Xenopus tropicalis: one gene and its partners. Each later gene encodes a partner of the first gene's protein in a complex. Links are inferred from orthologs where the notes say so. Each region holds a gene or a part of one and is shown on either strand. Other genes may lie near its edges.

Region 1 (2,905 bases):
GGACAGATTTCTGCCTTTTGCTCCCACACTACTTCCTGTTACAGTTAGAGTTGCATTATTTCCTGTCAGCTGATCTCTGAGGGAGCACACAGCCCATCGGGGGTATAGTTAATAATAATAATAATAATAATAATAATATGTGCAAATCAGGATGCTTTGATGAAAGCAAAGCCTCATTGACTTACTGTTAAGTTGTCTCTCAGTAACTGCATTATTAATGTGCTGTCTTTGTAGGACTCTTCGCTCAAAGTGTCAAGCTCAGCAATGGCTTCATCAAAAGCCTAAAATGGCAGAAAAGCAGAGGTTATTGCGGATAACTGCTGCTGGTGCCTGGTAATGCGCCGGCAGAGCGAGACAAAACACTTACGGCCTTTGCAAGAGAACACGCTTTCTCTGGACAATTGAGGATCTCATAATAGAACACAGAGAAGTTCAGGGCCAGACCCAATCGGATAGGATGTGTTGGTTGCATTTCAGTTTTGCTGATGTCAAAAGCATCTTGATATGCCTTCTGTGACTGGGCCACGATATCTAGCAACACAGAGTCACATGTTAGATTGCATGTACATTCTGCTTATATTCCATTAAATGTAAAGTGGGCACCAACTGAAAGACTAAAGAATCTGTGTTACATTAGAGATTTACACTTTTCATGCTCTGAAATTCCAAAACCACATTCCACCCCAGCAACGGTGCATTCAGAAAACACAAGCTGGATAAATAGGGCAGATTTTTGGCAATTGGTCTTATGGACAAATATCTATGGTTCCGTTTCTGGCACCAAAGAAAATGCACACTTTTACTTTAGCACTTCCTGGTTCTGTTGTGGGCAGGAGAAGCTGATCACACTAATTACCAGGGCACTGAAGCCCTCTGATAATGAGCTGCTCAAAGGCTGGAGAAGCTCAGGAAAGGAAGGGGTTTATTTGTTCAGAGGCAGATAATCTCTGAATCTCCCCCCTCTACCATTATAAACATGGCAGTGAAAAAACAGTGAAAAAAATAGTGCTTTATAAATGGTAAAAAAAAAATAGGCAAAATGCATTCTAAACACTAACTGTGTTGTGGTTCTTTTGTAAACTAGGGCAGTTTTTGTCAGACTTTCAGTTTATGTCCCTTTTGTTACAAGGGTTAGGTCATGGCCCCTCTTAACAAGGAATAGCAAAATATCTGTGTATTAGCCATTTTCCCAAGAACATTTAGGACAACAATAATGTTTTCACCCCAAATCTCACCCTAACAATTTCATGCTGGGCTTTCTGGCGTATCTTGGAGGCCTTTGTAGTAAAAAGTCCCCTCCTGTTCCAAGTCCCAGAGTTTGGGACCCAATAGATAAAGCTAAAATAACATGTCAGGACAGTCAGGTTGGCTTTAAGTAACAACTACTTACAAAAGCAGCCGTATCAGCGGAAAATGCTCAACCTGGCCTATAGGTACTCATGTGAAAAAAATTAGGAAATATGAAACTATGAAACCCTGTGTGTTCTTGTAACATTCTTGAACATATGGATATTTAATCTCAATTTCAACAAAACAGGGAGATTCAAGTAATATAACTAAACAATTAAAATTGAAGAAAATACTTCTGTAAAATGTAATTCTACAAAGTGCCATTTCTGGTGAAGAATAAATCAGGACACCCCCATTTAGACCCACTTAAAATGGCTGAAACAACACACAGGTGTATCCCATCAGGTGCACATGATTAGAATATGGTTACTCAGCATTTGGAAGGAGCTTTGCCCTAGTTAAACCTCAGACATTTAGTTTGATTGTACCTGACTGGCTGGAAACTAAGAAATGGAAATTTTGTGGCTGTACAACCTCTCAAACATCTACTGAGTTACTGGGTGATGCTTCACCATTTTCATAGCACCATTAGAGAACCATGCCCCCTCCAAGGCTGGTGCTTGAGTAGTGCCTGAGCTGAAGGATAAGCTCCTAAGGATGCAGTCTACGCGCAACAACACCCACCTGCCTTTGCGTCGCCAGAAGCTACTTCAGCCAAGTAACGATAATAGTCACCCTTCATTTTCAAATAGAAAACTTTGCTTTCCGGTTGTGATGCGTTGGCAATCAAGAATTTGTCCAGAAGATTCTGCAAAAGACAAAAAAAAAATGCAGGTTCAAATACAGTGATATGGGAAATACACATTCAAAATCTGTGCGTCAGGTACATTGGCAGATGCCAGCAATTCCAATAGCCCAGCAACACAAAGGGAAGGAACCACAGAACAGAGAGAAAACAATAATTAGATAATTACATTCAACATAAACTTTCACTAAAGGGTAAATAGTCCCAAAAACTTGCAATTAAAAAAAAAAAAAAAGGGCAATTCTAAGCAACTTTCCAATATTCCTTAAACATGCAATAATTTTAAGTCATCTTTTAATGCAGTACAGTAATATGCTTTATGGCTAAATTCAGATCTCCCTTCCCCCCCCCTTTTTTTTTTAAAGAGGCAGTATACTTCCCACTTCAATGAATAGGGCTTGTGCTAAACCAGTGACCCCCAACCAGTGGCTCAGGGGCAACATGTTGCTCCCCAACCCCTTGGATGTTGCTCTCAGTGCCCCCAAACCAGGGAGTTATTTTTGAATTCCTCACTTGGGGGCAAGTTTTGGTTGAATAAAAACAAGATTTCCTACCAAATAAAGCCCCTGTAAGCGGATAGTGTGCATAGAGGCCCCTAATAGCCAATCTTAGCCCTTATTTGGCACCTCCATGAACTTTTATGGTGCTTGTGTTGCTCCCCAAGTCTTTTTACATTTGACTGTGGCTCACGAGTAAGAAAGGTTGAGGATCACTATGCTAAACATTATTTGTCTACTGTGCTGAAGGGGATATACTGTTACTTTAAGGGACAGTAACAAGTTTTAAGTTTTTATTGTACCTTCAGAACAA
Region 2 (4,140 bases), on another chromosome or scaffold:
TGTGCCATACTTTCACTGTGTGTGCCATTCTTGGCTGGTTTGTGCCATACTTGGCCTGTGTGTGCCATACTCTGCCTGCCCTACCCTGCCTGTGTGTGCCATACTCTGCCTTCCCTACCCTGCCTGTGTGTGCCATAATCTGCCTTCCCTACCCTGCCTGTGTGTGCCATACTCTGCCTTCCCTACCCTGCCTGTGTGTATGGCAAACACAGGCAGCCTACAGTGACAGAATGCTGGCACTGCTCCAACAGTCTGCACAATAACTATATATTAAAAAACTTTTTAATTGCAGTACCACCTCAGTGTATGTTGCTTTTGTAGTGTGCAGGGTTTATTTGTGGGTTTCTACTGCTCCTGAGGTGTGAACAGGAGAACAATGGGAGTGATTACAGCCTGAGCCTGAGGTTTGAACACTGCAGGGGGTGAACAATGCAGGGATTAAAAGGTGTGAACAGTACAGGGGATTACATATTTAAACAATACAGCCTGATTACAGCCTGAATCTGAGGTGAGAACCATGCAGGGGGGGCCAGTTAATCACAGTACTGATACCATTTAAAGCTTACACAAGAGTAAGCCATCAAAGCAGCCAGACAGGTGGGGGGCCACACAGAGGGGGGTCGAGGGCCGCATGCGGCCCGCGGGCCGCCAGTTGGACAGCACTGATCTAGCAAATGCTAGAATGGCTTTTGTATGCTGCCATATATCTTTTCATATATAATATTCTTAGATTACCATTGCCCACTGCTCCTCACTAATTATTGTACTCTCATACTCTCATTGTATAATATGATACGGATGTTACTAATTACCCATTTGTCTTATGGCATAGCTGGTCAAAACACAGTGAACACCAGGGGGACGATTCATTAAAGTACGAATTCCGAGTACGATTTGCAACAATTTGCAATTTCTGATGTGAGTTAATTTTGCAAAAAGTCGCATCATGCTTGTACGAAAGTATAGTGGTTTGATACGAAAGTTACTAAATTTTCGTATACGAAAGATTGGAAACGGCACAAAAAACTTTCTGACTTTGAAACTTCTGTGCATGTTTTTGGAAGCCTCCCACAGGACTCAAAGGCACTCTGCAGCTCCAACCTGGCCCAAGGAAAGTAACAATACTGAAGCTTGAATGAATTCCGAAACTTTCGTACTAGTTGTGACAAATACGATTTTGTTGCACAAATTGTTGCAAAGTATGAAAAAGTCACGCAAATTAAGGAAAAAAAATTGCAGAAAATACGCACAGTTCTAAAACTTAAGAAAAATACAAATTTTTAGTATTCAGGCACAATAGTACATTGATGAATGTGCCCCCAGGTGTCTGCCTTTCAATGAGGGCTGCTAGCACATACTACATATCAACAAAGTAACTAACTAGTGTACAGTTTGCTCCAGATCAACCAGCATTTTAAAAATAATATTTCTTGGTGTATATATATATATATATATATATATATATATATATATATATATATATATACCAAAAAATATTATTTTAAATTTTTTTTGTTATTATATATATATATATATATACATATATACATATATATATATATATAGCACTGTCACATTTTACAGAGATTATACATCATTCACTGCCCCAGTGGAGCTTACAAAGTTTTCCATCACAAAGAGGGGGCAGTTTTATCAGAGACCAATTAACCTGACTGTATGGTTTTTGAAGTAGGGGAAGAAACCCATGCACACAGAGGAGGGAGAGCATACGAACAGTAAACATGGGCCTCATGATAAGATTAAGGGCGAAGACACACGGAGCTACTTAGTAGCAGCTACTTGTCACGGCTACTAAATGCCAGAAAAAAACCCTGCCATAGACAATACTGAGAATTGCCTTTGCTAAAACACACCTAGAGACAGCTATCAGTATATGATCAGCATTGTCTGTTTTAGTAGCCATGACAAGTAGCTGCTACTAGTAGCTCTGTTTGTCTTCTCTCAGGACTTCCCCTTTCTTCCCACCAAGACTGTTACCCAGTGTCAGGCTGGGCCTCCAACTGTGAAACTGACCTGGTGTGCACACCCTCACATATGATCTGGAGTCAATACTAAATATGATTATCACCTTGAACAAGGGTGGAAATAAAAATACCAGATCTGGTGCCCATCATCTAATACTCTAGCATGTCAGTCAGACCCTCTATTACCTGCATTGTAGAAGGTGTCTAGCACTGACGTCTCGCCAAAGTCCAGTTTGCCGAAATCCAGGGTCTCAAGCAGTGCCCCATGGTTCTCACATGCCTCCTGCAAACTGTATAATGCAGCAGCCTCACAAGCATGCAACTCCGGACTTACTTCATTGATAACATATACCACAGTAATCCTACGAAGGCTAATACCTCCGCTAGCTGTAGGAGGGGGGTTAACCCACTTTCCATAGCATGGGGCATCTTTACCACTTCCAACCGCTGAAGCACGGAGGTAATCTTCACGCCAGAAGCTTCCAGCTTCAGGGATCCTGGTTCCACCGCATATGGTGGCATTTTCCTGTAGCGTAAGCCCTCCTGTGTCTTCATGAGCACAGCAGCTTGAGCCAGGCAGCCGTGAGCATGGTACAGAGAAACTGATTCCTTCGCTGCTGTCACTCATTACTTGCATTCAGTGTACGGTGTCCATTTTAGGACAGTTGTGTGCAAAATGACAGCGAGCCCTACTCTGTTACTAAAAATTATTCCATAAATTAAGCTCTGATTAATCCCCCCATGTGTAAGTGATTGTTCCGGGCTGTTCCGAGCATACTTTTTCTGTCCTGCTTCCTCCTCCTCCTTCCCCTCCCTCTCTCTTGTCTCTGACCACTTCCTTCCATCCTGCTCACTGGTTCCTCTGAGTTGAAGCATTCTACCTGCTAGCTACAAGTAGTCGACTGATCTGGGCTACAGCCTATTTCTTCTTTCTGCACCCTGATTCCTCAATTCTGCAGCATTCTACCTACTCCCAACTCCTTGATTAGTCCCTGCTGCAGCATTCTGGCTGATTCTTCTGGTCTGTTATATCCTACCACTCCCAAAGCCCTTGTATTTTGGCTGTTAAACATACAGAGTCATTGAGCTTGATGAAACCATATTATCTATTTTTTTTTAACTTCAACAAAAATCAAAATGTAAACATGGATATTAACCTATATCATAAAGCAGTCACTAAATACAATTGTATGCTTTTCCTGTGCTTAAAATGAACTGATCTTTTGGCTTTTAATGGGGGTACCATTATGTTTCTAACAATAAGTTATATTTCACACTCAAATTACTTGCCAGCACAGTTATGTAAAATTATGTAAATGCATAAAATAACTTTAGGCATTGTTAGAAATGTAACTATGCCTAAAATAATTACGATCCATTCACTCCTGAACCCTAGGGAGGAGCATGTAGAACGTTGCTGCTCAAATAATCAGGTACATAGTAAGTTAGGTTGAAAAAAGACATAAGCCCATCACGTTCAACCATAATGCCTATATATAACCTGCCTAACTTCTAGTTGATCCAGAGGAAGGCAAAAAACCCCATCTGAAGCCTTTCTAACTTGCCGCAGGGGGGAAAAAATTCCTTCCTGACTCCAAGATGGCCAGTCCCTGGATCAACTTGTACTAAGAGCTATCTCCCATAACCCTGTATTCCCTCACTTGCTAAGAATCCATCCAGCCCCTTCTTAAAGTTATATAATGTATCAGCCAGCACGACTGATTCAGGGAGGGAATTCCACAACTTCACAGCTCTCACAGTAAAAAATCCTTTCCGAATATTTAAACGGAACCTCCCTTCTTCTAAACGGAGTGGGTGCCCTCGTGTCCGTTGGAAGGGCCTACTGGTAAATAAAACATTAGAAAGGTTATTATATGATCCCCTTATATATTTATACATAGTTATCATGTCACCTCTTAAGCGCCTCTTCTCCAGTGTAAACAGACCCAACTTGGCCAGTCTTTCTTCATAACTGAGACTTTCCATACCCTTTACCAGCTTAGTTGCCCTTCTCTGGACCCTCTCTAACTCAATCATGTCCTGTTTGAGCACTGGAGACCAGAACTGAACAGCATATTCTAGATGGGGCCTTACCAGCGCTGTGTAAAGGGGAAGAATTACACCCTCCTCCCGTGAATCTATTCCCCCTTTTAAT
Region 3 (4,028 bases), on another chromosome or scaffold:
TATAAACAGTGCACTGAAGAAAATTAGGAAAAAGGAATATATGGACGGTTTCTTAAAGGAAAGAATATACAGCATATGTCACAATGCTGCACACACAATAAACAGGTGATGTTTTTCTCTGCCGTTTTTTACATAGCATGTCCACGCTGTCATGAAGCTCCTAGGTTCCAAGCATTCCTGCTCCCTTGCAGCCATTAAAAATTACCAGTTATATTTTAAGACAGACAGTACATGTGCAGATAAAAGCTCCTGTTTCAGGCCCTCCAGCTTATTGGCTTGTGTATGGGTTCCTCCAAAGACCTTACTTTTATATTGAGCCTCTAGAGAAGCAAAAAACAAAATAGAAATGCTAAAAAAAAAAAAAAATAGCTGACCTCACCAACTGATAAATTCTACTTTACAATGTACTCTAACTTCTTTGCTAAGACCTTTATTATGACCACTAATCACTTCAAATAATTCAAAAGCTTAATGTTTCTGAGACTCTTCAGCAACTTGCACATTTGTTTTTAGGTAATCACCATAGCAGGTAATGGGGAAGGTGGTCAATTTGAGGCAAACTGGCAATGGCTCCCAAGCATCTGAAATCATCAGTTTGTGATGCCCTTAAAACAGGGGTCCTCAAACTACAGCCCGCGGGTCGATTCGGCCCCCCAAGATCATTTACCCAGCCCCCACTGGTGTGATGCGGTGACACGCTGGGGCCGAGGACAATGCTGAGGCAGACAGGTAGTAGCCAGGGGTGAGGATGCAGCGGGGGCATAGTTCGAGGACTAACTATAGTCCAGCCCCCCCCAACAGTCTGAGGGACCAAGAACTGACACCCTGTTTAAAAAGTTTGAGGACCCCTGCCCTAAAACATATACAGAGCACAAAATAACCAGTTCTGCAAATTTCTCTGCATGCAGGCTTTAGAATGCCGAGCTGATATTTACCCAGTGAAGGTACTTAGGTTACTAAATCCAACAGCAAGGTCAGTGACAGGTGTCAAAGGCTGTTCAGGAGAAAATGTAACTGAGGAATCTTTTTCACGAAGGAGGTTTAATATCATTCTGCAATTTGTACGGAAATGCAGGCCTTGGTTGGACTTTGGGGGTGCTTCTGATGACATTATGTGATTCTCTGCCATGACTTCAGCCGAGCCTCCACTACTTGTCTGGAACCTGTGGTGCAAATGAAATACATAGTTATAGCACAAAATAAAAATGAAAGATCTGCAAACATGTGTTTTATACAAAACTCACAAATCTGTTTATTTTGTTATGAAAAACTTTCATATACTCTATGAGAACAATGAAGGTTATTACCATAAAGCTTGACTCTACAGCCATGTTTTTATTAATATACCCAAACATCTTTTATTTCAACTCACACAACAAACGTGCATTTTGGAGCCCTCCTTCTGACTAACATGTTTAATACCACCGATTGGGCACCTCAGATGCCTCATAAAAATTTTAAGCAATTTTAAAGAACAGTATTGCCAAAAAAAAGAAAGATCTGCGTTGAGATAAAATATAGCCTACCCTGGTCTGGGGCATTCAATGTGACTTAAATAGATAGAAAATAATCCAATTGGGTTTAATTAATGTTTTATTGATTTTTTTTAGTAGACTTAAAGGAGAAGGAAAGGCTAAGTCACTTGGGGGTGCCAAAATGTTAGGCACCCCCAAGTGACTTTAATCGCTTACCTTTTACCCCGGGCTGGTGCCCCTGTTGGGATAAAACCGCACCAGCCTGGCGTAGCTGCAGCAAGTGTTCACTCTTCCTTTGTGCGCTTGTGCAGTAGAGTGAAAAGCCAAACCTTAACAAGAAAGTGGGCTTTTTCACTCTACTGCGCATGCTCTGGCCCAGGGATTCCAAAGAGAGAAGAAATAAGGAAGAGGAAACGCTCAAAGACAAGCCAACCCAGAATATAATTTTTTGCCTAATAAGAGAAATTCTAAGCAACTTTGCAATATACATTCATTACAAATGTATAATGGTTTTTGAGTTATTTGTATATATAACTGCTATTAAAAGTAGTGTTTGTCAGTCATTTTTTATTTTCTGCCCTGGTGGCTTTGACTGTTGAAACAATTTAGCAGATACAAGGCAGCAGCCTGACAGACCTGTATTGCTGAAGGAGACTGACGTTTGCAATATTGTTTAAAAAGTAACAACCAGGAGTTCAGCAAATGCTGCTTTCTATAGCAATTACAATTAGCTATTAAAGCACTGAAAATTAGCCTTGGTATATAGGGACGGCCATGCGTCAAAGAGTACATTTTAAAGATTATTTATGACTCTTATTATATACTATTTAAGTACCTCTAAGTACAATATCCACTAGAGTGCAATACTCACTCCACCTGATAACATCAGGGCAATATTATTTGAGAAAAGGCTACAACATGCATGTATAAAGCAGGGCACAGATCATCACTACTGAACAGAGGTCACTAGAATGACAAGTTTAATAAGAACTGCTTACATTCGGGGGTTACACGCTCCTTAATTATCGAACCGACTCTCCATCGCCAAGTAGTCTGCGTCTGAAGCAAGTTATCATGTGTCCAGAACACCCTTCTACCCCTACAGCATCTGCGTGCACTTTTATTTTACCATTCGAACCCCTACTACGATACCAGTTACAGATACAACGTAGCAAAAAAAAAACAAAAAACCGAACACAAAATTAAAATCTTCCGCTTAGAACAACTAACCAATCACAAGAGAGCATCCGGGTCACAACTCACAAAAGCACCTAGAAAGGCTGTAGGACAGGGAGGTCCGTTGGGATAGGCTACAAGACAAGCTGTTTGAAACAAATATCTGTAATAATTGGCTGATAAGAGCGCGTCACAGGCAGCGCAGTCTCAGATTGGTTTAGTTGTTTTAGAGCTCTTCCTGGTCCCTGTTGCGCTCAGTGATTCGCTATCTCGTTTGTATTATGCATGCAGGGCGCGCCCACTTTGCTGTGGCGGGGTGTTTAAAGAGCAATGGCTGAGTAGCTTTAGTCAGCTGTTGTCTGAGCCATGCAGCGGTAATAGAGGGAAGCGTGCTGTTTGAAGTTGGTGTTCTACGATGAGCTTGTGTTGCTTTTTCTCCTCCGTTCTTTGGAAATTCTGTAGCTTTCCTATGCTGGAGTGGTTATGCTCACCCACTGGCTTAATGCTCTGTTTTGCCTGGCTGGTTGAAGGGCTTTAGAGTAGTGTGGATTTGACGTGTAATCGTTTTGTATTTGGTAGCTCCTGGCAGTTATTAGAAGTCTGCTTTTGGTATTAAAAAAAAAAAATGTATCTGGTTTTGTAATAATACATTCACTTCAAATGTGGAAAATGCTGTCAGGTTATTTCAGTGTTTTACATGGAAACATCTTGAGTTCTCTCTAATTCTGTTTGGATCTATGGGGCTCATTTGTAAACACTTGGCAAATTTGCACCTGGTCATTAACCCATAGCAGCCAAGCAGTAATTAGCCAGCTTTAGGTTAAACACTAAAAGCAATCATCTGATTGACCATGGGTTACTGCCCAGGTGCAAACTTACTCAGTGTTTACACATAACTTCAATTTTGTGCTTAAAATCTTGTTGCTGTCTTAATACAGGTTCCATATAAAATCTTCATGCTGCATGACTGGTTAGTAATTCTGCCCTGTTGTATGCTGTACGTTTTATAATGGTTCTCTAGCAAGAATATAATACGCATCAGAAAGGATTAATAATGTGGCATGTATTAAGAAACTGGAATACTTCTGGGATACATTTGTGCATTATCTAGGGAGGGAGGACCTGTAAAAAGCTTGATGGCCTTCAGGAATAGGGGCAGTAAAGCTTAACCTGGAATTGTAACCATTTTCTCTAAAACTTTTTGTATATGTATATCTTTGCTGCGCAGGTTGCATTGTCACTGTTTAAAATCGCACTTTATATAAATTCACTGCATGGATGATTTGTGTACCATTTATTATGCTACATTTGAGCTGATTATCACAGCAAACTTTTTTTTGTTCTAAACCAAAAGGAAGAAAATTTTACATTAAAGCT

What was found. Proteins that work in one complex are often made in the same cells at the same time.
Region 2: the proteins of ywhaz (region 1) and map3k5 are in contact, whole or in part, in a crystal structure (PDB 6EJL), measured with the Homo sapiens proteins. The link is inferred for Xenopus tropicalis from reciprocal best matches to the Homo sapiens genes YWHAZ and MAP3K5. Residues at the interface, in NP_001129171.1 of Homo sapiens: Val46, Lys49, Asn50, Arg56, Lys120, Arg127, Tyr128, Glu131, Gly169, Leu172, Asn173, Val176, Tyr179, Glu180, Ile217, Leu220, Asp223, Asn224, Leu227, Trp228; in NP_005914.1 of Homo sapiens: Ser964, Ile965, Ser966, Leu967, Pro968, Val969.
Region 3: the proteins of ywhaz (region 1) and cdc25c are in contact, whole or in part, in a crystal structure (PDB 5M36), measured with the Homo sapiens proteins. The link is inferred for Xenopus tropicalis from reciprocal best matches to the Homo sapiens genes YWHAZ and CDC25C. Residues at the interface, in NP_001129171.1 of Homo sapiens: Lys11, Glu14, Gln15, Glu39, Val46, Lys49, Asn50, Arg56, Arg60, Val61, Ser64, Lys120, Arg127, Tyr128, Glu131, Gly169, Leu172, Asn173, Val176, Glu180, Asp213, Leu216, Ile217, Leu220, Asn224, Trp228; in NP_001274511.1 of Homo sapiens: Gly210, Tyr212, Arg213, Ser214, Pro215, Ser216, Met217, Pro218, Glu219, Asn220, Leu221, Asn222, Arg223, Arg225.

Annotation. Positions count from the first base shown.
Region 1 is NC_030682.2:130,813,698-130,816,602, forward strand, and holds part of ywhaz (14-3-3 protein zeta), read right to left. Parts: intron 2,099-2,905; coding exon 1,975-2,098; intron 532-1,974; coding exon 368-531; intron 282-367; coding exon 186-281; intron 1-185.
Region 2 is NC_030681.2:59,037,058-59,041,197, forward strand, and holds the start of map3k5 (mitogen-activated protein kinase kinase kinase 5), read right to left. Parts: upstream 2,807-4,140; 5' UTR 2,623-2,806; coding exon 2,172-2,622; intron 1-2,171. UniProt on the Homo sapiens protein: Serine/threonine kinase which acts as an essential component of the MAP kinase signal transduction pathway. Plays an important role in the cascades of cellular responses evoked by changes in the environment.
Region 3 is NC_030679.2:48,003,901-48,007,928, forward strand, and holds the start of cdc25c (M-phase inducer phosphatase 3), read right to left. Parts: upstream 2,807-4,028; 5' UTR 2,723-2,806; coding exon 2,706-2,722; exon of another isoform or gene 2,476-2,705; coding exon of another isoform or gene 2,474-2,475; intron 1,164-2,473; coding exon 936-1,163; intron 1-935. Other genes in the region: oocyte-specific histone RNA stem-loop-binding protein 2, read left to right, coding at 3,608-3,621. UniProt on the Homo sapiens protein: Functions as a dosage-dependent inducer in mitotic control. Tyrosine protein phosphatase required for progression of the cell cycle. When phosphorylated, highly effective in activating G2 cells into prophase.